Linked DNA regions of Drosophila melanogaster. The protein of the gene in region 2 interacts with the protein of the main gene of each other region in a biochemical or structural test. Each region holds a gene or a part of one and is shown on either strand. Other genes may lie near its edges. The genes, in order: eya, nmo, per and Mad.

Region 1 (4,772 bases), on a different chromosome or scaffold from region 2:
AGAAATATCTGCAAATGCAGCGAATTGTGCGCAGATTTGTTTACAGAAGACTCTCCGAGTGGCAAACTGAGGGAAGACGGATTATCGTGGAGGGAGGAGCACCATGATCATCGTAGATATAATTGACGACATGTTGTCTCACGATCGTGCTAAAGCGATTAAAGCTAATTTAATGCCCGACTCGGAGATTCACTGCACCCAAAATGTATCCACCAAGAAGTGCACTCCCTCACTTTGAGGTCATGCTCGATTTTCTCTGTGGAAAGCCTTAACAAAATGCCATAATCAAATTTCTAGCTTCACTTTTGTTATTTCTTGTGGCTGAATTTGTTGTGGGATCGAATGGGCTCATTGTCGGAATTCCATTGCAATTCTATTGCATGTGTGCATGTCGCCTATTTACTTAAATGCACTTGTTTCACTTGCTCACTTGTAATTACATCCAGGCTTTTAAGTCAGTCTCTGTTGGGCCAAAAATCAAGTGTTGAATCAACATGAATTGTTTAGCACACGATTCAATTGTTTCGTCTCGACGGAGACGTATAAATAAATAAATACGAGACGGCCATGAAATATATATTTATTAGAATAAAAAATGTTAACCGCTATCGGTTTATGACAACTGTTTGTTTAATTGTAAAATATATATTCAGGAGAGGTTTAAAAGATATTTTACAAGTTGCCTACCTTAAAGCTTAACTCTTTTACTAGAATTTCATTTGGATGAAGTTTCAACACACTTTAAAATTTATGTGCTCAGTAATTTGCCAGAGCTGCCCCAATCAACATCAATTGGCTGCCATACTGTCTGAGCATTCTAATTCATTTAATCGAGCTCATTAGTGGCTCTAAACCATCATGTTTATGCTACCCAATTACCATCGGAAGTGATTCACTTCTGCATGGACGGAGAGATAGCCCTGTGATTTTGATTAGATGCCAATTTGTTTATGGCACTCACTAATCCGTCCACAGATCGGATATCCCATATACCATATACCATTTGCCATATTCCATATACCATGTCCCGTATCGGTTTGATTATGCCCAGCACACTTCGGCTCGTCTTACATGAGCATTTCGATTTTTGGGAGCTCCTTCTCTAATGCGTTACGGATCCATCGAACCCAATAAGTTTTAGGCGTTTTAAATTACCCGATATTCGCGTTGCGCGTTTTACGATTGCCATTAAATTTGCTGGCGGTTACCATTGAACAGGCCGAGAAACTCCAACTGATTAGCTTATTAATTTGTTTTATGTGCTCGAATGGTGGCGGAGTTGTTTCGAATTAATTTATTAATTTATGCGCATAGGAAAACCAACTTTTCAGTTGGCGTTCGCCCAGCGGCAAAATCTCATTCACAATGGGCATTGTTCGCCCGCATCCGAGAGATACTTACCAAAAAAAAAAACTAACATAATACAGAGAAAGAAACAACAAACTTTGAGGAAAAGTGGTTTTCGACCCACCCCTGTGCGATATTCTTGGCCCTTCGATTTGGGGAATGGGAATGGGCGGAGTCTAGGCGCATTCTCTGGCCGGCGGAGGGAGCGAGAGAGGCTGCTCCGAGTGCGCACCGCTCACACGAACTCGTTTCGAGTGCCGAGATACATTTAGCCGGTACGAATACGAATCCAAATAATCCGAGCCAGGGATTTCCACTCAAGCAGCGCCGCTGCCGCTTCGCTGCCGGCGTCGCATTGAGCCACAAAAGTCGGCTGTTTCGGTGGTTCAGTCGATTCGAGCCACTCAAAGCGAGCGCTACGGGAACGGTCGATCCGCCCGAAGTCGCAGATAAAAAACCTACCAGATACATTTCGTTCGTTCTGAAACGCTATAACTAAATATATATTCGATTTCAAAACATCGACCATACATTAACTACCTGAAACGGTCGAGTTCACTACCCCGCCACGCGTGTGTGTTTTTGTGTGTGTTGCAAGTGAAAGTAATCGCAAGTCCACAGAATGGTCACCCTAATGCCATACAACTACGCTGCCCCGCGATGCGGATTAATTGACAAAATGATCGAGCCAAAGGTAATCACATAGTCGTAGTGCTCTCCTCGCGAAGCTTTAAAAGTGATGTGGTTGAGATGGCTGTGCCGTCGGTTATTACTATTACTAGTATTGCTAGTGTTATGACTATGATGACGGCGGTAGCTTCCTTGGTGGTTGCGCCTTGTGGGGCTTCACCTAGTCGGGGAGTAGTATCCAAAAAGTGAAACTCCATGGCGAGATAACGCTTCGACTCTCATTTATCAAGCCTGGATGGAGTCTAATATATGTACGAACAACAGTTTAGGATGCTTTAAGCTGATCTATTGGTCGGTGTGATATCATAGCACACTTCATATATAAATCTAGTCCAGCTTGACAACTAAGTCGTGTTCAGATGCTATTCGATTTCATAAATCTAAGCGAATAAGTCGTGCAAATACACTCGAAGAAATACAATTTCATTGGGTTGCTTGAAAATGTATGGAATGTTACTCATTCACAGAGGATTATCAATTTTATAGACCCATCCTGCGAAGAAAAGCGCTTTAATGACTGCTCATTGTTGGGAAATCGTTAATGGGGATAAAGATTATGGGCACCTGACCAAAATTTTATTACAACGCATTAATCGGCTTAACTTTTGGCTGTGGGGTAATGAAGCAAACAAGTTGAGTCCCAAAAGGTCATTAAAAACGCTTAATAAAGTGCCGAAATAGTGACAAACGTTTTTCCAATTCGCTGCTGATGCATTTCTCCCATCAAATTACCAAAGCCTTTTCATTCACTGCACGCTTGCGATGCAAAGTCTGGCCGAGATTAGCGTAAAGTTCGTTTCCCGACGATTTAATGGAACGGCATTCTCCAGGCTTTTATGGGTCCCTAAACTACGGCTAAGACAAAGTCGGATCGAAGGAAACGTGACGAACGTGGAGTGGCCGGATGGCCGGATGGTTAAGGCGAAATATTAATAGAGCATAAATTACAGCTCTAGTGGGTCTCTGGGTGCCGGCTTTATGGGAATTTAAAGAGCCTGGCCCACAAAAGCCAGAGCTGGGCTACGGCATTCGTCCAGCGGCATTAATCACATTTTAATTAAGTTTAAGCCGTAATCGTAAAAATTAACACGCCATAATTCAACTGCGACAATACGCGCTGCATGTAATTTATGACAAAGAGAATTCACATCGGTGTGCGTGTGTGCGAGTGTGTGGGGGGGGGGGGGGCGGTGGAGGAGTCGAAATATTGATTATGGCCACTGCGATTGACACTTGGCGATTGTTGATTATACTACCACGATCGTGGCCCAAAACGTAATTAACGTGCCAAAGTGTTAAGGTGCATGGGATAGGTCCCATGCCATAGCAGCCCCTTCCTTCGATTCCACTTCGTCCACCAGAAGATACAAATTTTCCTCTTGTTTATTTTGATTTTTATCGCGGGGACTCGAGGGGGACTCAAGGGGGCTCAAGGGGTTTGTAGGGGTCTTCGGGGTCTTAGGGCCGGGTTAATAAAAAATTTGTCGCCGTCTTCTTGTCTTGTCTTTTGTTTGCCTGCCTTTTTGTGACCGAGTGTGTGTGTTTTAATCTTCTTCTAAAGCAGCAGAAGAGACAAAGAGATTACGATCACAGGAATTTCGTTAAAGATGCCCACAAACAGGTCTTTATACCACATATCTCCCACTCTTTTCCGCAGCTGGAACCAACCAAGCCGGCCCAACCAAAACCCCCCCAGATACTGATTCGAGTGTTGTCTGTGTTAATGTTTACGTTGTCAGCTTGTGCCATAAATTAGTTTAGTAAAAGGTTGCATTTGACTCTTCCCTTTCCCCCCCCCCTTTTTTTTGTTGGCCCCTCACCAGCTCACTTTTGCATACAACTTCGGACTCGAATTCGGTTGCTCGTGCAGCACGCAATCCTGCAGAATTCGCGACCCGAGATCGCAACTCCAATGCGCAGCTCATCGAAACGCTACCGTTCGGCAATCTGTCCGCTTGTCCGCCGCTGCGCATGCGCGTGTTCCCTTGGTCCGTCGACAAATCTGAGCAAACTGCGTCCTGCTGCCCCCCACCAGATCACCGGATGATGGACAGTGCGTGCGTGTGGTCATCTCGCCGGACGGCAGAAGCTGTCAACCGAAGCCGCTCAGCTTTCGCTCCCTTCCCGCCCTTCTTTTTTTGTTTTTTTTTTTTTTTGTTTTGAGGGACTTCTTTAGGGGTGGAGAGGCGCACAAATTCCAGCACCTGGGCTTGCCGCGCCCCTTAGTCCGCCTTCGATTTATCTGGCTTCCGTTCGATTTGCATACATGTCTTCTTAAGGGGCGTTTTTTTTTGACCATTTGTCAAAATCATTCTGGCAAAAGCTGAATTGTCAAAGCTTTATAAATATAAAACATAGTAAGTGGATGTAAAGGACGTTCTATTGTATGCCTAGAGACACAATCTTTCCTCGAAAGTCTGTATAGTTAAATGTCATCTTTGTTCCATCTAGCCATTTTGCATCCTTATCGAAATCCGCTGCCACCTGCTGCTTTTCCGAGCACTACCACCTCCCCCCCCCCCTTTCCGACTTCCCCTCCAAATGGCGCCGCACATCCGAGTAACAGTTGAGTTAAACTTTTTCCCACGCACAAGCTCGGGCAGCGAAAATCGCTTGGCGCAGCAGCAAATGGCGATTGCGAATTATGTAAAATTTGCTGTTTTCTTTCGCCACTCGCACTGGATAACCCAAATAGAGTTTCAGGCGGTGGAAGTGCCGAGCTCAGCAGGGCGATT
Region 2 (4,821 bases):
ATGATTTCATATTGCCACCTTTTTTTGTGCTATGTTAAAATCATTTGCTTGATAGATTTGCAGCTTTTCGGTTACATTGATAACAAAATGTTGCTAATCCATATTAGATATTTTACTTTACCCAGTAAACAAACAAATATTCAATGCTCACCCCATTTAAGCAACCATTAATGTAAAATTTTGCACACAAATGTAAATCAAAAGAGTCGAGGGGATAGAAAAAAAAAAGCAGAGAGAGGCCGATAAACGAGGAGATGGGCAAATAGAAAAGTCCAAATTGAGGGGGGGGGAGGGAGGCCAAAACACGGAGAGCCAGCCAGTCAGCCAGCCAGCGCGCTTAGGGTAAGAAATATATTATAGGAAAAATCCACCCTCGGGGGGCCGCAGCAACGTTGAAAACTGCACAAAGGCACAAAACCATGAAGGACAGCTAGCTGAGACCCGGGACTGAGGTTCTGAATCGAAATGAGTACGAGGATGTTGACGTTGCCCGCTGCACAAAACATCAACATCAACAGCAGCAACACAATCAAAAGGGTTACAGAATCAAAGGCCTAAGCAGAAGGTTGCTGAACCCACGGCGAGACCGTGACATAAAATCGCACAGCAAAGTAACGACGCTGCAGATACCCTTTCTTCGAATAGAACAAAGACTTTTTCAAGTCAAAGAACAACTGTTTAATCTTTAGATATTTGAATTATAAAAGTACATTGACAGGAGGGTATTAACATTTGGATTCGAAGTCGGTCTTACAACTTTTTAACCGAATGTGTTTATAATGAAATCATTTACAAATTATCATTACATGAATTCTTTAAGGGGCACAAGCATATAATAGGATATGACGTTAATACACCCTTTTCTGCATTCTATACCACCTATTGTCTTATAATTCTCAAATATAATTGCCCATTTCGGCGGGATGTCTTTGGACAACCAGCAAAACAACCCGAAAATAACCATGCTTGCTAAACCAAGAAAAAATTTGATTGTACCAATACTATGGCAACACCCTTCGCCCATAATCTGGATTATTGCACTGAGATATAGAATCATTATACTTACCAGACAACTCCGAATGCTCCATAGCCGATAGGACGATCCGGCTGAACATCCTGGGGAACAGCCGGCGGTTGATAGTAGGGAGCCGCTGCGGCCAAGATTGCGCTGGCGCCCTGTGGCGCACCACCGGCAGCACCACCCTGTACCAGTGACATCGAAACGCTCATTGATGGACTACGCGGCAAGTTTTCCAAATAATTCGAGCAGCTGCACCCGGTTCTGGTATTTGTTGGCGATGGAGCTCAGTGGTTGTGGTCCTGCTAGGCTGTGGCTTTTACTGGTGGTGGTGGTGGTTTCGACTGGGTCTTGGACTGTGGTTCTGATTCCCAAAGCTGTGACGGCGGTGGTGACTGAGGTGGTTGAGGTGATGGTGTTGCTGGAAGTGGTGCTTGATTTGATGTGGGAGAAATGGTGTTGATTGCTCAATGGATGCCGCTGGGGCCAACTGATGGCCGCCATTCAATTGTTGGCCATTTGTTGCTGTTTGCCTTGGCGTGCTCCTCTATTCAGCGCTATTTGTTTCGCTGCGTGTCGCTTGTTACACTTCTTACTTATTTAAATTAGATTTGAGGACATTGTGATGAAACTGCGGAGTGAAGTGGATAAATAATCATTTGTAGACAGTTGAATTGTGAATAATTTAAACGTTGCTAACAGAATTTACAATCTTGATTTATTTTCACAGTACGCAAGAAAACTATTGAGAATTGATTTCCTATTCGACCACTAGTTACTAGTTACCACTAGGCTCAATATTTTGTATATTCTGTAAAAGCTAGATTTAATTTAATCCGGTTTTGGTATTATTCACTGTACTTTAATTGTCGTTACTTTTGTTTGCTTTTCGAATTTTTGGTGGCAAATGATGCTGCACAGGAATCAAAAAGAAAGAAGAGAGGAGAACAGTGAGAGAGAGCGCGCGAGAGGACATGAAAAGTGCCGTTAGCTGTCGCGACCGGGGCGCGTCCGTGTATTACAATTGTAAGTGTGTGCGCATGTGAGTGCGATTCTGAGTGATTTTCGGACTGCGCTGCCTGCGCAAAAAGCCGCTCAAAAGACACAAAAATCACTTAAAATCCGACTTTTCATGCAAATTTACAAATGTTGAAAACCAAACAATGGCGAGCACCCCCAAGTCGCCAGAAAATGAACGCAATCAAAAAACGCTCGCATGAAAATCGAAAAGTAACGGGACAAAAGAAATTCGCCCGGGGATATGTAATATTTCCCAGGGTTTCGCTTAGCTTTCCGGACTAATTAAACCTAACCTATGCAAACAAGACATTCCATTTCACTTTAAATTACCTTAAAAAATGCACAAATTATTGAGCAGCGGCGGTGGCAGTTTTTCGTTTATAATTTCTTTTCTATTTTTCTTTTTTTTTTGTGTTTAACTCTTCCGCCTTTGTGGGAGCGAGATGGAAGTAAAACGCGCCGGGGGTAATATTCGTGCGTGTGTGTGTGAGAGAGAGTGAACTAGCGGGCGAGACGGAAACAATTTTGTAATTTTGTTTAATTATTATTGTAAATAACGCGAGATGAATTTTTTGTTGTTTGGCGTGTTACTACTACTAACGCGACGGCTGCTCACACACACGCGCATACACAATCGCACGCACGTTTAAACTATGTACATGTATATGCAGAGCCAGACAAACAAACAAAATTTTGCCTGGGTCACGTTTCTTGGCTCTCTCACAGCTTTTTTTCTACGGTTGCCCTTTATTGCATTATCTTTGTTATCACACGGGCCGCGGGGCGTGGCTAAAAGGGGGGCGGGCGGATGTTGGTCGTCGGTTGGCGTTTGATTACCTCGCAGCTTCCCAACGAATGAGCCTAACTTGGATTTTCGATCACACGCGGCGACGTTTGTTTCAACGATAATTCCGAATTCGTGCGCTCGACGTTCCGCTCCGTTCGAAAGTTGAGAGAGACTTGAAACATATGTTCGGCGTTGCTAGAGGTGGTCGGCCACCGATAGAAACATCGATAGGTCCGATGTTTTCCACTCGTATATTAATTCAAGGTTTGGCTATCGATGTTTTTAGAGTGCCCGCACTATATCTATTTCCATCTCTATTTCGTTGGTATTTTTTGTATTTTATGACATTTCAAATGCAAAAGCAGGATGGCAACGCCAGATTGCCCCGAATGTACGTTATTTTTAAATTGCAGCGTTGAATATGAAAAATTGCAGGTACATACAGTTTCTAATAATTAATAGCAATAATTATTATTTAGCTTGTATTATACGAAGTGCACATGCAGCTATGCATCTGAAAAAATAATATTAATATATCGCCTTTTCTTCCATCGATAGAGTTCCGCGCCTATCGATATATTGTTGATCACCAAATAAATAAAACTAAATAACAACGCAATGGAACACGCGACAAGTGAATTGAGGGAATTTATCTCAGATCTGGTGATTCCGCACCAGCGTTGCAATGTTAACATCAATCCGGATCACATCACAATGCTGGAGGGCACCAAGATCAAGAAGCAGCACTCCCGAAAACGTCGCGCCCACAAATCCAGTACGCTGAGTCGCCGGGAATATGCGGCACTTGGTTTGAACACTCTTCCCACCAAGCAGATGAAGTACGAGGAGGCACTGCCACTGCACCACCTGTGGAAGGGCTATGTACGCGAGCATCTGGAGCTGAGGGAAGGTGACGAGGTGCCCCAGGTGCACGATGCTCGCTACGACGAGTTCAGCCGCAAGTTGGTGAAACTGGACTTGCACGGTGCCAAGATGAAGGTGCTGCAGTCCAAGTGCTCCACCCTGGAAAATTTGGCTGGCATCTGCGTCATGGACACCAAGAACGTGCTGAAACTGCTCGGCAAGGACCATCGGCTGCGCACAATACCCAAGAGCGAGTGCGTCTTTGGTATGAAAGTGGGCAACATGGAGTTCACCATATTCGGGCAGCACCTCAACATTCGACCCGCCGAGCGAAGCGTTAAGAAGATCAAGAACTTTGTGAAGCCCTTCATGTAGGAACTACAGGACCAATCATTAGCCATAGAAATTGAATCCTATTGTAATTTAAGGAAAAAAGTTTATTGGAAAGTTAGCATCGCTTTTCAATAGAAATTTAATAATTGCCCTCAAAGATCCTCTAAAACTTTACTTGTATTTGAGATTGTTGTGTTTAATATATATATAAAACCGTACATTAATTGTTTTTCTTGTTTTTTTTTTTTTTTTTTGGGGGGGGGGGGGTATATTTCGCGCCGCGTTTTTTTCGTATTTAGGTTCTAGTTTATGGGAGAGATTACCCGGATTCAAATATATCCAGTTTGTAGGAAAGATTTATGCGGGCGTCTTGGTCATGGTGATGACAGCGGATGGAACCAAGCCGAGCACTTCCAGCGGCTTCTCGTAGTCGTCCTCGGCGAACAGCTTGCGCGGAAAGGTGGTCATCAGAGAGAAGGGCGACTCGATGCCGGTCTTCATCTGGATGAACACACGTACGGCGGACAGCTGCTCCTTGACGTTGAAGGTTTCCTGTAGTGTTGAGCCATCCTGCAGGCGCACCTGGATGCGGGTTTCGGTGTAGTCTCGCGGCGGAGATTTCACACCGGCCGGTGGTGACGAAACTGTGGTGGAGCTCACGGATGGAGCTGGCTCTGCGTTGCCCAATTCCTTTTGTTCTCTGCATACCATGAATTATAATGAATTATGAAGTGGAAGGATAGGGCTAATCCTTACCTAGCCTTGCGTGCTGCCTTGTCCGCCTCAATTTGAGCCTTTA
Region 3 (7,694 bases), on a different chromosome or scaffold from region 2:
GACGTTCGGGAATCTGGAGAGCGTTGGCCATTCCCGGAAAGGGCATCGGCTGGTACATCATGGCCGTGGCCGCGGCCGCCGCCGGGTGTGTGTAGAAAAGCGAAGGATGCGGGTACATCACGCCGGCCATGTACTGCAGCGGCATGGCCTGGGCGGCCGCGGCAGCCGCCTGCTGCGAGGTGGTGGGCATGTCCGTGCCACCCTTGTGCGGATGCTTGTGCATCCGGGGAGAGCGCGTGGGACTGGTGGGCGTCAAGGAGGCGGGGATGTAGTAGAAGGTCGGGAAGAGGCCGGCGGAGGAGAAGCTGCTCTGGGCCATGGCCGTGTGCGTGGAGTGAACGGGCGGTGTGATGCCCACCGAGAACGGTGGCCAGAGGTTTATGTTTTGCGTGCAGGTGGGATAGGACGAGGGTCCTGGCGTGGAACTGCCCACGGAGGAGGACGCTCCAGCCGCTGCTGCCGCTCCTGCTCCGCCTCCGCCTCCGGCTCCACCTGGTGTCCCCGTTCCCGAGGTCGTTGTGGCTCTGCCTTCTGGTGTGCCTGCTACGCCTGTTCCGGATCCTCCTCCGCCCGCCACACCGGCTCCTCCTGATCCCACACCGCCAGTGCCGACTGCTCCGCCCGCACTTCCTGCCGCTCCCTTGATCGCATCTGTTCCCAGGGTTAGCTGCTGCTTGGGCTTGTTGGCCTCTCCCTCCCAGGAATGGGAGCCTCCTCTTTTTATCCCGTGGCCTGGACCGCTGTACTCCAGCATCTTAAGGGTGTCATTGGCGGACTTCTTGCTCTTCTCACCCGTCCGTCCGCGCGACTCGCGGTGCTTCTTCAGCATGAACTTCTCCATCTCGTCGTTGTGCTTATTGAGCAGGGATTCGGTCAGCGTGACTGGCGGTATGGCGGCGCTTCCGCCTTTGGATGAGCTGGCGGTGCCGGTTCCGGTGCCGGAATTTGTTCCATTGCCTGTTCCAGTGCCTGTGCCTGTGCCTGTACCTGTTCCCGTTCCAGTTCCTGTCCCGGTTCCAGTTCCTGTCCCGGTTCCAGTTCCAGTTCCAGTACCTGTACCTGTACCAGTGCCCGTGCCACCAGTGCCGGCAATGCTCGTATTTGTCACACTGCTCATGTGTATGTTACTGGCGGTGGTGAAGTTGCCCGAGGAGCCACTGCCCCCGCTGCCCTCGTGGACGGGACTCATCGGACCACTGGCGCCACTGACACACGTGCCGCGCGGCTCCGGCGGCTCCGTTTTGGGCGGATCGAGCTCCGCCGGCGCCGTGACCGGCTTGCTGTTGAAAAAACGCAGCAGGTTCTCGTTATAGTTTAGCTGGTTGTAGCTGGGCGGCGTCTCGGTGGAACTCTTACTGTCATAGTAGTCGTGGTGCGGCGAAATCTCGCCGAGCATCACGCTGTCCCGCTCCGAGACGGTCAACTCGTTCTCGTGCGGCAGCTCCAGCTTGAGATCCGCCCGGGACACCTCGTCCATGAGCGTTTCCATGAAGCTGGCCAGCGCCTGGCAGCGGCGGGAAACCTCCTGCTTGACCGTGTCCGACGGACGGGACACCGTCTCCGCCAGGCGCTTCACGATATCCTCCTTGATTCGCGTGTTCCGGCTCTGTGCCTCCTCCGATATCTTCAGCTTACATGTGGGCGCCGCCTCGAAGACGTTGCACTGCTTGGGTCCTGGAAGGTGAAATGACCTGTTTAGAGGATCATTGGATCACTGGGTCGGCACGCGAACTCACCCTGAAAGACGCGATGGTGTCCGACGACAAATTCCAGCTTGCGGGACCATGGATTGACGAAGCTGGTCCATTCGGTCTCCAGAAGGACGTAGCAACCGTTCTGGATGAGGAAGCGGTATGGCTTGCTGCAGAAGGAGGCGCCCGCCGTCTGACCCTTCTTCATTACCGTCTCGTAGGTCTCCTTCATGACTGAGAGGTCCTCGTGGTGGTAGAAGTCCATGATGCTGCGGCCAATCAGGTCCTGCGGCAGATAGCCCAGTGCACTGACCGCCGCGCTGTCCACGTGCGATATGATCCCGGTGGCCGTGTGGCGTATGGCGAACTTGGGGCTCTTCTGTGAGAGAATCTCGTCGGGAACTGGGGGGGGCAGAGATCGATGGTTAGATGGCTGGATGAAACCAAAACGGGCACAGATACTCACCCTTGTAGCTGCTCTTGATCGGAGTGGCGCAGATGACGAGCAGCATGTTGGTGCCATTGGAGACCATGTAGTTGTCCGGTCGCGCCTCCTCCGGAGCCTCCCTGAAGGTGAGCCCCAGGCGGAAGGGTTCGTAGCTGACGGGCCTGCCGATGACGCCGAATCCGCCGGACTTGAGTCCCCGGTAGCGACGCAGCATCACGCAGAAGGTGCTCTTGGCGTCCTTGGGCACGCTGCCCCTGGATTCCGCAATGGGTATGCCCGTGGTGATCTGACTGGCGAAGGTGGCGCGGTCCTTAAGGTGCACAAAATCGATGAAGGACCTGCCCAGCCACATGTCGCGCGGGTAGCCCAGGACATCGGTGATGCTGGGCGTCGTGTACAGGACGATGCCGTCGTGCATGGAGATGACGCAGCAGAAGCTGTCCTCCTTCACCCGCTCCCCGCGCTGCCCTGTGCCCGCCGCCGCTGCGCCCACCCCGGTCATGGACTCCAGCTTGCCCGGACCTGCCTCCCAGGTCTTGTCGAACTTGGCCAGCCCGCTGTCCAGACCGGCTGCGTGGCCCACTCCGCCGCAGCCGCCCATCGAGGGCGGGACAATGGTGACGGATAGCGGCGAGGGAATCGGAAAGCTCTGTGCCGCCTCCGACTTGGCCACGCCCTCGACTCGGTCCGCCTCCGACTCGGAGCCGGACTGATCCTCCTCCTCCTCCTGCTGCAGCTGCTCTATGGCCTGCGGCTCGCTGTGATCCTCGCCGTGCTGTTGATCCTGCAGCTCTCGGCAGATCTGCTGTTCTACGCACCCAGTGCCGCTGGGCCGCGGCTTCTCCTCGTCCCTGCCCTCTAGGCTCGTCGACGCCGAGATCAGGGTCTGCGCCTGCCCCGCCCCCTGGCCGGCGCCCTTGTTCTTCTTCTTCTTGCGCGACTTATCCTTGTTGCGCTTGATGATCATGTCGCTGCTGCTGGCCTGCGTCGAGGGCTTGCCCCCATAGCCACTGCTGCCGGAGGAGTGGCTGCCGCTCAGGCGGGATTTGGAGCTGCCACTGGAAAGGGGATGGATCGTTTAGACTACTCGCATGATTGAGCACATCAAATGGACTCACCTGCGCTGCGACTGGCTGTTGCTGCAGCTGTTCGAGTAGGCCGAGTCGGACACCTTGGTGTTGTGTGTGGACTCCGTGGACTCGCCGCCCTCCATGGTGCTTAGGTTCTCCAGCTTGCCCAGTTGGTTGACTAGTGCGAGATTCTGGAAAATCGTATGATGACCATTAGCACTTCAGTTATCCTTGATAGGACCTTGAATGGGGGTAACTAAATAACTAACTAACTGATTTCACTTCTATGATGAACCTATGTATCTATGTTTGTCCTTCCTTCGAGGAGATTCCGTGACTACTGAGTATCCGTTGAATGAATGACCAACCACTACAATGCGGATTCTATTTGCACCGGATTCATTCAGAGCAGCGCTGTTGCATCAACGTGAGTCGATTGCGTTGTGAGTAGTTTCACTTCGGCCGGGTGATGAAATGAATCACGAAATCTGTTGCGGCACCGGGCTGCGACGCGCAAACCCCCCCGATTCTCTAGAATCCAATTCAAATTCCGAATGTTGCTTCGTTACCGTCTTCACGTTGCTCGCCAATAGTATTGTGCCGCCCAGCTAACCACCAACGCTTTCTAGGATCTTCTAGGCCAAGCGAATGGATGATGGGGGGGAAACCAGGCGTTGCACGTGTTCCGACTGCCTGCCATTCATGTTCATGAATCATGGCTTGGATAACTTCTAGTCCTAATTGGCTGGAGCATTGTTGTGAAATTGTCACCTTGACTTGCACCTGCATGGTGGCCATTGATTGAATCGTATACTCTCTGCCCGGCCCAGACTCAGAACGATAGATAGAGAACAATGTCGCCCACACGGTGGTTGCCTGCAACGAGGCTTCACTGTGCTAATTAACAGCGCAGCGGGAGCGAGAGCGAGACGGCGCGACGCTGCATTCACGTGCAGTGCGATGTGCTTTTGCTCTCGCGTTGCCTCTGCCGCTCCGCCAACGGATGTCGTTATGCAGTCGCAATGCATCCCGGCTCCAGATTCGCAGATACGTACTTAGATACTTAGATACGTGTAGTGTGTAGTTCAGAACCATGTACCCTGTACCTCAGTAGAAGACACATTCTTTTCAGCAATTTTGCAATTACAAAAAAAGAACGCAGCGAAGAACTCATATTTCTCACAATGCACCACTATGTCGTAATCGGTGCATATAGCAAGCATTCAATTCGGCAAGGAGTTCGGTTTCAGCGATTGCATAAGACCCAGGTTCATTCTCTCCGATTTGGCTGAATCAACTAAACCCAAAAATACTACACAGACACACAGGCATTAGGGTGGACCCCATTCCAGGCTCTTCAGAGTTTCCATTAAAAGCAAAGATAACCAAATGGGCCAAGTAAACAAGCTGATAGTTGTTTCGACGGCCCAGAATTCAAGAAGAAAGAATTCCAAAGAAGGTGAAAAATTCCATTGGATAATACCATTTTTTTGCCCAACAAACTGGCTTCCAACCGACTGCTCAATCTGCCCAAATCCTTCAGTTTATACCCACCAAGGATTGTGTAACTCGCTGGTTAACCCAGTTCGCATCCCATATGTGGGTGAACTTTGACGCAGCAAAGCAAGAAGGCCAACTGGTCGAATCGAATCCGCCGCGATGCCTCTGGATTGCTGGATTACATTGGTCGTGCGTCATTCCGAGGATGTTAGATAATGCAGCACAGGAAGCGCGACAGACATGGATAACAGTCGCATAACCCGGGGGCAAGACATACTGGGAAAGACTGTGGGAAAATTCGGGGCACGAATGGGAACGTTGAGCTATTAATGGTGGTACTCTGTTTAGCTTGTGTAACGCGACTGCGACTGCGGCTATCCAAATCGTAGGGGTTTTAATAGACATTCCAAATTTGCCAGAAATTACTGCGCCCACGTGGCGTGTGTGCAGCAAATAAGCTGAAAATACCAAGGTGCAATGCCCAAAAGGGAACACGCTGCGTATGCGCAATATGCTCTGACCCAGATTGGATGCCGGGCATCGATTAGAGCTATGTAGCTACATATATGAATGAGTTCACTTCACGTAGGCGCAGTGTGCTGCAGTACTGCACTCCAGGTGACCGGAAGGCAAGCGGCTGCAGTGGTGCACCACGTTGCGTATGCGTATTCTGCGGCCAGAGTATGTTTGTTTGGCACTGCAAGGAAGGAAGTGGTGGGGCATTCCCGGAGCATTGTTCGGTAGGGTCAGGTATTTTGATGTGGGCTTTTGTTTACGCTTTGCTCGGTGTGCAACGTGCACTTATTAATAAACACTATATGTACATATGTGTAAGTGCGCCATTGGACGTTATGAACCGAGTTATTTATGTAAGCTGCCTGCCCAATGCGTTGTTTTGTATTGGCAATATGATAATGGTCTATCTAGCGCCTCTTGCTGAGATTTTTCTTTGCAGCTTTATTGCAACAACGTGACAATTGCACTTACACACTCGCTCTCGCTCTCACCCAGCTGCACTTTTTTGCGATTAGGCTGCGATTAGGCTGCTGCTGCCTTCTGTTTGGAATCTCACTTATGGTCTCACTTTTTGGCTGTGGCTATATGTCACTCAGCTCGATACACTTGACACTAACACTGGCACCAAAGAATAACGGTTTGTTTCTGGTCGAAATTAAAAAAAAAAAAACGAAGCTGTTTGTTTGCGTGATTCGACAGGTCGTTGTTGCGATTTATTTGGTATATGGCAATACTTTCTACTGTGCGACGAACGCGTTGTCGACCTTCTGGCTCTAAATTCGCACGAACACTAGTGCTCGCATCGCAAGCTCCGGTGTATAAGCCCCCGTGCACTCGCATTCCCAGAATTTTCTCACACTCACTCGCTGCTCTCCGCCGTCGCTGAGAATCGCTGGGAATCGCAGTCGCTCGGGAAATCGCTGGTCGGCTGAGATACTCGGACCCAAACATTAACCCTTGGGCGAAGCTTTTGCGCGAACAACAAAAGCAAGTAATTGGAATGCCAAAGACTCCCTTTTCCATAGCAAGAAACCCCATTTATAGATTGCTATAATGTTGGATATCTTTCTTTTTCATAGCTTCTATTGAATACTAGTTTCTTTTGGTTTTTATCTATGCTGTGGGATACGTTACATGGCACTGCCGATGCCAAGTGTCAATCCAAGCCCCACGCACCAACTGCAGGTTAAGGAAAGCTATGGAATCCCCTGCCTTTTTGGGGCTGCCTGGTGGGCGGCTGGCAGCACGTTTTCCGAGGGGTGTTTTCCGGGGAGCCGGCTGGGCGGCGGATTTGCTGGCCAAGTCACGCAGTTCGCCACGTGAGCGGCGGCTTTTCACTGCCTACGGCTTTCTCGGACGCTTTTTGCACTCGGACCCGTCCCTGCCCCACCATGAATTGTGCGAACTCGCACTGGCACTGGCATTTCGCAACGGCATTACTCACCCACCCACCTGGTCATCGTCCAAGTGCGGCCAGCAGTGCACCAGAGCGCCAGTCCGCAGTCAACGCAGTGCATCGGTCTAGCAGCTCGGCTCTCTAGCACGGATGAAAAGTTGAAAGTGGCGCCAAGCTTTTGGGGGCTTCTGTTTCCCGTTTGTCCCGTGGAAGCTCTACCTGGGCAGGTGTGCGCGGCGTGCGCTGAAACACGTACGGAGTGGGATGATAGCGACAGCTGATTTTCCCTGGCTTTTCCGCCTCCGCCCAGCTGGCTGTTGCGCGCTGTGGCCCACAGGTGGCGTTACACATACCTGCCAGCAGGGGATTCCCCGTCTTTCCACGAGGGGTTGATGAACTCCGAGCGGTCGAGTGGTTCGGTTCGATGCTGATACTACTGCTATGCAGTTACAAATGATTATTACTTGCAATTTCTGTGCATTGAATTTGGCTTTTAGTCTTCGCAATTGAAGGGTTAAAAGTTGAGGCATCTGATAAATAGGAAATGATTTTAGCTACCCCCTCATAAAAGCATATTTTTATGGACCCCACAACTTCTTTTTTTTTCGGAGCATTTTTTATTATCCTAATCCGATCGAAGTGCCCAAGGATGTCTTTATGCCTTATCAGCCGTCCCATCGGCCTGCGGTGGCTTTGAATAATTGAATTCTATTAATTGGCGGCTTTGCCGACGTCGAGTGGGTGTGAAAATCCATTTGACCCGGCACCCACTCCACACGCAGCTCCTTTGTGGCCACGTGTGTGGTGTTTGCCCAAGCTAGCCGGAGTTTGCTGGCATTTGCTGGGGCTCGCTCTTATCTATCGCGGCCACACACGTGCCACAAAGTCACAGACGCCTGCCCGAAAATGATAAAGTGCGTTCGAATTAGCCACCAAACTGCTGCTAATTTGATTTTGATGCTGCGACTGTTGACTTGCCGCACTTCGCCACTCCCCGTCGCGTTTTGATGTGCTGTGATTTCATTTGATTGCCGCTAATCGGATTCCGGGTGGTGATTTCGGGTGAGTGTCGG
Region 4 (7,626 bases), on a different chromosome or scaffold from region 2:
TCAAGATGGAACTGAAAGCTATTTATTTGAAAGTAGTGTAGACCACCCACCACCGACTGGCAATTTTTTTCATTTTTGCGGAAAAGCGGTGGTGTCCCCGTGTTGACAGCTCAATTACTCACATGACACAAAGCCTCTGCGTGGCCCCCTGCAATTATCGCGGCAATTATTTGCAATTAGAATTGAGTTAATTTACTTAAAAAAGGATTTTCTGCCGTGCCTGCGCATTTTTGCCCCTTGACGTTTGCACTTCGGCACGTGTGTGTTTTGAGTTTTCCGCTTTTGTGCAATTTGCGTGCATAAATTTTTATTGTTCCAAAGGGACTACATAATTATTTTGTTATTTTTCGTCGTTTTCACTTCTGCTTTCGAGGAGAGTGCGCTTCATTACTATTTCGATTTTACTGCGACTGTATAATGCTACCCATGTTTGCAATAAGTTCGCGTTTAGTAGTGTTAAACACGCAATAAAAGCGAAGGGAGGGAGGAGCGATCGCACATAAACATGCTCGCATTCTAAGCACACGTACAGTCCGGGCCAAGAAAATAGGTTCGCTTGACTTCAATTCAAAAGATTTCGTAACGAAAAAACTTTAGTTTCGTTGCTTTACCCATTAAAAAAAATTGGCAGTGCATTTGCGAATAGAATTTCGATTTGTTTCCGCTTATTTTCGTACCGAAAACACTCTGCCGAAGGAGGGCTTCATCGAATTTTAGGTTCAATTACTCGCCGGTCCCACGCACGAAAAAATTCGTTGACGCTGCCTTCTCTTAAACTCCTCCCCTGAAACTACGTTCCCTTCATTTTTGTTGTGGTTGCGGTGGGGTGTTTACAGTTTGATTGTGGCTGTGGGTTGACGCCACCTCCAACACCACCAAAGGCCATGCACTGCAAACAAATTAGTGTGCATCTAAAAACAGCAATGTCTATTTAATTCGAAAAAGAGTTAAGTAAAAGAGTACTCAAATGTTAAATCTTAGTTCTTCAAGTAACATTGTTATTTGAAATACAAATGTTGCATATTTTTCTCGCCGTGTGATCTGCTGCACACAAACACGTTCGCGCTCACGTGCTGGCGCCCCCAACTGCAGATAGGGCATTTGATTTGTTTAAAACAAAACTTTCGTTGCCTGTATGGGTGTAGTGGTGTGCACTTGGCTGCCCCAAACGCACACTGAAACCAATTACGAGCACAGGAATACGAATACGAATACGTCACTCAGAGGTCTTCAGAAATCAGGGCTGCGGACTAGCTGGTGATAAAGAAGGGATTCAATAGGGATACATACACTAGATTTATACTCTCTTAGGGCTACAATAAGTACATTACTAAATAGATAAATATTAAGAAAATGGAATATAATAACTCAATTTTCCAGTCTTAAACTTATTAATAACTGTAGAAAGTAGTTTGTGTTACCTTTAGATACTTTAGGATGGACCTGCTGCTTCGCATCCCTGGCGAACTCACACCGATACACAATACGAATGCAGTTTGGGCTGCGTTCAGTTCGTCACTCACTCAGTCAGTCAGTTCGTCAGTCAGTCAGTCAGTCAGTCAGTCAATCAACACTCGGCGCACTCAGTTTGCTGGGCAACCCGTTCGGCATTCGTTGTCGATCGGTCGTGTCGTGCAGTTGACTTCTGATTCGCGCTCGCTGCCATTTCCACTTTGCGTAATTTACGGCGAAAATAAAAAATAATACGGCAAAAGGCTTAAATAAATGAAGTTATTACGGTGATAACGATTGAATTGAAGACTCGCAGCGGAAATGTAACTGCTGAGGCGACTGGATTGGATGCCCGATCGTCGTGGAGGGTCGCGTTTGCGATTTGCATACGAATAAAATAACATTTTGATGCTGAATTCTTGTCCGTGTGTGTGTGTGTGTTTGTGCGTGCAATAAAAATAAATAAAATAATATCTGCAATCTCAACATCATCATGTGTAGGTTCTTAGTTCGTACATAGTTCTCGTTTGCCTCGAGTTGCTCGATTTTTGAGTTTTCCTCCTCGCATCAAATCGAAACTTTGGCCTGTTTGGTTTTGGTCTTTATCGCGCTGCGTTTTTGTGTGTGCATTGTTTGTTTATTTTTAAACATGGGTCCAAGTCCCTATTTTCTCTGTCTGTTCGTTTTTTTCTTGTTGTTTTGTTGTTATTTTTGTGGCACTAGTCGTAGTACCCTTTACCACGCTTTTTGCCCGCTTTCAATGGCAGCGGAAGTGCTTCTGTACTTCTGTACTTGTGTACTTGCCATCCATCCACCTTGATTTCTACTTCTACCTGGCTCCCATGATTTACGCCTTATTGTCACTGCCGCATTTATGATTGATTATCGATTGGAATGGTATGATACGCATGCGCGAATGCGTGCCTGCCATAAAAGTGCCTCGATATCCTCGCTCCTCCGTTTCTCCAGTTGAGTTATGATCCCTGACTAGCGATGCACTGAAAAGAAACTCACAATGGAATCACTAACCAGAAGAATGTACACAGCCGATTTGAAATGCAATTCTTCAATTTAGTTACTCTAAATATAAGACTAAAAGTAGATTCACTTTAAACCAAGAACCATCAATTGAATTTGCTTTGAAAGCAATGAAGAACTTTCCTTCGAGTGTGGTTTTCTTGAAAGCAGAAAGAAGACTGGGCCACTTTGGGCGGGTACGTTGGGTACGTGATCTCAGCTCGGGTAATATGTAATTGCGAATTACGATTATTGATCTTTAATTGATATGGGGAATGTCCCATATGATAATGGATCATAAAGGACTTATTATATTTATATTTAGTATCGTTCAACTCGAGATGCATTGAGAGACAAAACAAGAAAATCGTTTAAGTGCCTAAAGAAAGCCACTTTGTTGTTTGGAAAACCATCAAATCTCCGAATAAACATCATAAATATGTTGAATATGTTGTTATGATCGTGTAAATAAAGTTTTTATGTAATTCCTGCGAATTAATGGGGTAGTTTCCCCTTTTGAAAACCGACTGATTATGTCGAAAACCTCACCTGCAATCGAGCTTTGCACAAACAAAACGGGGGCATTATCGAAATTTGTATGCCTGCCCCACTCAAATCAATCGAATTCCACTAGAGCACCATTGCCACCTAAAAACACACGACACTAGTCAGCTGGGTAAATACGTAGGGTAGAGTTCTCTATCTCCACTAACCCCCTCGATAAGTCTGTCCGCCAAGTGTCACTCCGTTTGTATCCTGAGTTACTGAGAAGGAGAGACCATGTGAACTGGTACTCCACTGTATGTTTAATTTTGGGATTAGTTATAAGCAAAGGTGTACCATTTTCGATAAGGTACCGATTGTTTGTTCGTAATCCTAATCTTTTGGAAGAGGTTTTTAAGCTAGTTTTGGTAATCAAAATGGTTGTGTGACTTATCATTAATTTCAATATATTCTTGTAGGCTAGTGATAAAGTTAGAGCATTCTTAGAGCAATATATCTACCGCCGGAGGCTCTGGTTGACTTTGGGCAATTAGAAAAGTGACTGCCCCCAACCACTGGTCCTCGTTGACCACGCCCCCTTCCATGGGCGACAACATAAAATTGTCAATGCTGCGAAAAAAAAAAGAAAACGGCAACGCCCCAAAATTTTTAGGCCCGAGTTGAGCGAGAAAATCGAAATTAATTCACGCAACGGCTAATTTGGCCAGAAATATGCGCCATTTGGTCTGTCGGGAGCCCAATCGAGAGGTGTTTTCTTGTTGTCCAAGTGCTGCACTTGTTGATTTATCGCCGGCATTTAATTGCTTTTGAAATTGGATTTACCAGCCCGTTTGCTTGCCACAAAAATGGGTGGTTCGCCTAGCAAGTTCGCCTTGTGTGGCTCGCCGATTTTTGCTCCAGCTTGCACAAATTAATTGCTACTACAAATTTTCATTCAATTAGGTTTTGTCACTTTTAAATTTAATCAAACATTTTTTGACACCTTGAGTAAAGCAACGAGATTGAGGCTAAGACAGCCAACTGGAGCGCAGCCACTTGGCCAACGGAGAGAAGTTCCTCAGAAATGCTGTTAACATTGAAATGTCATAATTCAAATGGAATTGTTGTCTTTGGTGGGGAAAAGTATGGAGGGGGGGGGGCGTAGAAAACAGGGGGGAATACCCACAATTGTGGCGCTGACAAGTCGAACACCATTTGGTTATCATTTGCGCTCATTATGAGATGCAGTTCTCGCCACTCGACTCGAATATTACTGCAGTACAGTGGAGCCTAACTAAATAGAATGAAGACAGTGGGTTTTTATTGCTATAGTTTAGTTTTTTCTGTTGATAAACCAATTTCTTAATGCCAATTTTCTAAGAATCGATAAGGCAGCCCGAAAACCAGCACATGAAACTATTATCTGTGCTTCATAAATTTACCTATTATTCATATATTTTTGCAGAATTGTTGTGTTCGAAAACTAATACTATTTATAACGTTGAAAAGTGCGAACTCTTTTCGTTCGCAACCTTTGTGGTTTTTTGGAATTCAAAGAACTGTCAGACCTCAAAAATACCCCCCTTACAATAGAATCGTTTCACAATTGACGTCAGCTGCGATTGAATACGAACAATAACCATATTTAATAGATAAAAATAAGTTTCCAACGAAATCGAGATTCGATTAATCAGCTAGTTGGTTAAGTGAAGCAATAATGGCCATTATTCTCAATGAGAAAATGTTGCAGGCAATTTGCATGCAATTGGCCGCCAACATTGAAAGTGGGAGGAGTCCGTTCATGACAGGAACCTCCCAACGACTTCATTCACTAGCCAGAAACACGATGCACTGCCAGGCCCCATGGATACTCACTCCTCCTCCAATTTCTGCTGGGCACTTGGCCAAGCGGGTAAAGACACTCGAAGAAAAAGGGTCACATAAGTTGCTGACTTCCCCTTTTGTTACGTATAAACATTTGCTTGAATTAGATGCAAAGTTTTCTATAACATTTCTCTCAGTGCATTCGAATTTTGCATGCGTTGTGTTGTGGGCGTTGCTGAGACAATCTAAGCTCGATGATGAATGCCTGCAATTCTATTTGTATTTATTATTTATATTTGCTTTTTACTTGCTCTTTTCACAGACTATCCGCCCGCTGATAGTTATACCGGTTATCGGGTGACTCCACCCCAAATCAACGGCGGCACCACCACCACCACCACCATCAGCAGCGGCAGCAGCAACAACAACAACATCCACCACATCAACAATAACAATAACCACATCTGCAGCAGTGGCAGCAGCAACAACCTCAATTTGACGACAGCAATCAGCGGCAGCAGCAACAGAATGGACACCGACGATGTGGAATCGAACACAAGCAGCGCGATGTCCACACTGGGCTCGCTATTCTCCTTCACATCGCCGGCGGTGAAGAAGCTGCTGGGCTGGAAACAGGGTGACGAAGAGGAGAAGTGGGCGGAGAAGGCCGTCGACAGTCTGGTGAAGAAGTTGAAGAAGCGCAAGGGCGCCATCGAGGAGCTGGAGCGTGCGCTCTCCTGTCCCGGTCAGCCCTCGAAGTGTGTCACCATTCCACGCTCGCTGGACGGACGATTACAGGTGGGTCACAAGCCACATGGCCAGCTAAGTAACAGATGATTATTAACTCCTATTTCCGAATATCAGGTCTCCCATCGCAAGGGTCTGCCGCATGTGATCTACTGCCGCGTGTGGCGCTGGCCAGATCTGCAGTCGCACCACGAACTGAAGCCACTCGAGCTGTGCCAGTATCCGTTCAGCGCCAAGCAGAAGGAGGTGTGCATCAATCCGTATCACTATAAGCGCGTGGAGAGTCCGGTGCTCCCGCCAGTACTCGTTCCTCGCCACTCGGAATTCGCGCCCGGTCACTCGATGCTGCAGTTCAACCATGTGGCCGAGCCCAGTATGCCGCACAATGTGAGCTACTCGAACAGTGGATTCAACTCGCACAGCTTGAGCACCAGCAACACATCGGTGGGCAGTCCGAGTTCCGTCAACTCCAATCCCAATTCGCCGTACGACAGCTTGGCGGGAACACCGCCACCCGCCTACAGTCCCTCGGAGGATGGCAACTCCAACAATCCGAACGACGGTGGCCAGCTGCTGGATGCTCAGATGGGCGATGTTGCCCAGGTTAGCTATTCGGAGCCCGCCTTCTGGGCGTCGATAGCCTACTACGAGCTAAATTGCCGCGTGGGCGAGGTGTTCCACTGCAACAACAACTCCGTGATCGTTGACGGTTTCACGAATCCTTCCAACAACTCGGACCGCTGCTGTCTCGGCCAGCTGAGCAACGTGAACAGGAATAGCACCATCGAGAACACACGCCGTCATATAGGTGAGTCGATTTTAGCACTTAAATTAACTTACTCACAGAGATTTCCCATCAGCAACTATCTTAAAGTGGTTAATAACTAAGATTACACATTGGTAATCTTAAATTAGAAAGCGACTTGTGTTTATCAGTTATAAAAATAGGCATTGAGTAGAGTAGAAAGCTATGGACTTCAAGAATCCAACTACCTGTCTTTTTAACTCAAAATGTTTCTTCTTCCCCAGGCAAGGGTGTTCATTTATACTATGTGACCGGCGAGGTCTACGCCGAATGCCTATCCGACTCCGCCATTTTCGTGCAGTCGCGCAACTGCAACTACCACCACGGATTCCATCCGAGCACCGTGTGCAAAATACCGCCGGGCTGCTCGCTGAAGATCTTCAACAATCAGGAATTTGCTCAGCTGCTGTCGCAGTCGGTGAACAATGGATTCGAGGCCGTCTACGAGCTGACAAAGATGTGCACGATCCGGATGTCGTTCGTGAAGGGCTGGGGTGCGGAGTATCATCGCCAGGATGTGACCTCGACGCCCTGTTGGATTGAAATCCATCTGCACGGGCCGCTCCAGTGGCTGGACAAGGTGCTCACCCAAATGGGCTCTCCGCATAATGCAATTAGTTCGGTATCCTAAGCTTAAGATGAGGCTCGAGTCCTCAATGGAGACGGAAGAGAAGGAACACAAAACCGGTAGCTAAATGATGAGTGCGTGTGAGTGAAAGCTAAGTGTGAAAAGACGTAGAGAACACAGGACAATGGAGAGAGCATAGGTCTGTAGGCCTGAGGATGGAGGTCCATGCCACTCAGTCGCAGATTTATATAGATGATGTACGGCAGCTACTCCAATACCCGCCCTTTGCCCATATTTTATAGTTTATCGTATGATTTTCTATGCGAATGTCATTCCTAACGCTAAAACAGAGTAATGAAAATGGACAGCGAGCTAAGAAACCAATTACAAAATGGTATAACTATTTACAATGATCTACATGCTATAATATTAATGATCTATGCCCATTGGCAAAACAGTTCTTGTTCAAGTCTATTTCAAGTGCTAATTATGTGTCATTGCAAAACTGCTTTAAATATAAAAACACATTGAATTAATCCTACCAACTTTAATTACATAAGGAACAAGTAACTTACGTAGGGATATGAAAACACTTATTGCAATACATTTCTTAAAATGATTTTGAAGAAGCCCTAGCTTATGTTTTATTTTTCTCATTTGCGGTTCGCCTTGGATCAACGAATTCAATGTTCAATATAGTTGATTTAAATATATATATGGTTTAACTAAT

Evidence for each region.
Region 1: of the proteins of nmo (region 2) and eya, one has a biochemical effect on the other in vitro, tested with the Drosophila melanogaster proteins (one study listed by BioGRID).
Region 3: of the proteins of nmo (region 2) and per, one has a biochemical effect on the other in vitro, tested with the Drosophila melanogaster proteins (one study listed by BioGRID).
Region 4: of the proteins of nmo (region 2) and Mad, one has a biochemical effect on the other in vitro, tested with the Drosophila melanogaster proteins (one study listed by BioGRID).

Annotation. Positions count from the first base shown.
Region 1 is NT_033779.5:6,533,098-6,537,869, reverse strand, and holds the start of eya (eyes absent), read left to right. Parts: upstream 1-1,758; 5' UTR 1,759-1,969; coding exon 1,970-2,041; intron 2,042-4,772. UniProt on the Drosophila melanogaster protein: Tyrosine phosphatase thought to play a role in transcription regulation during organogenesis through its intrinsic protein phosphatase activity. The phosphatase activity was shown in vitro. Appears to function together with So and Dac in eye development.
Region 2 is NT_037436.4:7,977,228-7,982,048, reverse strand, and holds the start of nmo (nemo), read right to left. Parts: upstream 3,004-4,821; 5' UTR 2,876-3,003; exon of another isoform or gene 2,540-2,875; 5' UTR 2,369-2,539; intron 1,650-2,368; 5' UTR 1,231-1,649; coding exon 1,067-1,230; intron 1-1,066. Other genes in the region: POP4 ribonuclease P/MRP subunit, read left to right, coding at 3,444-4,064; CG8209 (uncharacterized protein), read right to left, coding at 4,380-4,722, 4,779-4,821.
Region 3 is NC_004354.4:2,683,903-2,691,596, reverse strand, and holds the start of per (period), read right to left. Parts: upstream 6,018-7,694; 5' UTR 5,697-6,017; intron 3,401-5,696; 5' UTR 3,353-3,400; coding exon 3,258-3,352; intron 3,198-3,257; coding exon 2,158-3,197; intron 2,094-2,157; coding exon 1,737-2,093; intron 1,675-1,736; coding exon 1-1,674. UniProt on the Drosophila melanogaster protein: Essential for biological clock functions. Determines the period length of circadian and ultradian rhythms; an increase in PER dosage leads to shortened circadian rhythms and a decrease leads to lengthened circadian rhythms.
Region 4 is NT_033779.5:3,146,752-3,154,377, reverse strand, and holds the start of Mad (mothers against dpp), read left to right. Parts: upstream 1-1,624; 5' UTR 1,625-1,945; coding exon 1,946-1,949; intron 1,950-5,098; coding exon 5,099-5,574; intron 5,575-5,640; coding exon 5,641-6,331; intron 6,332-6,552; coding exon 6,553-6,959; 3' UTR 6,960-7,626.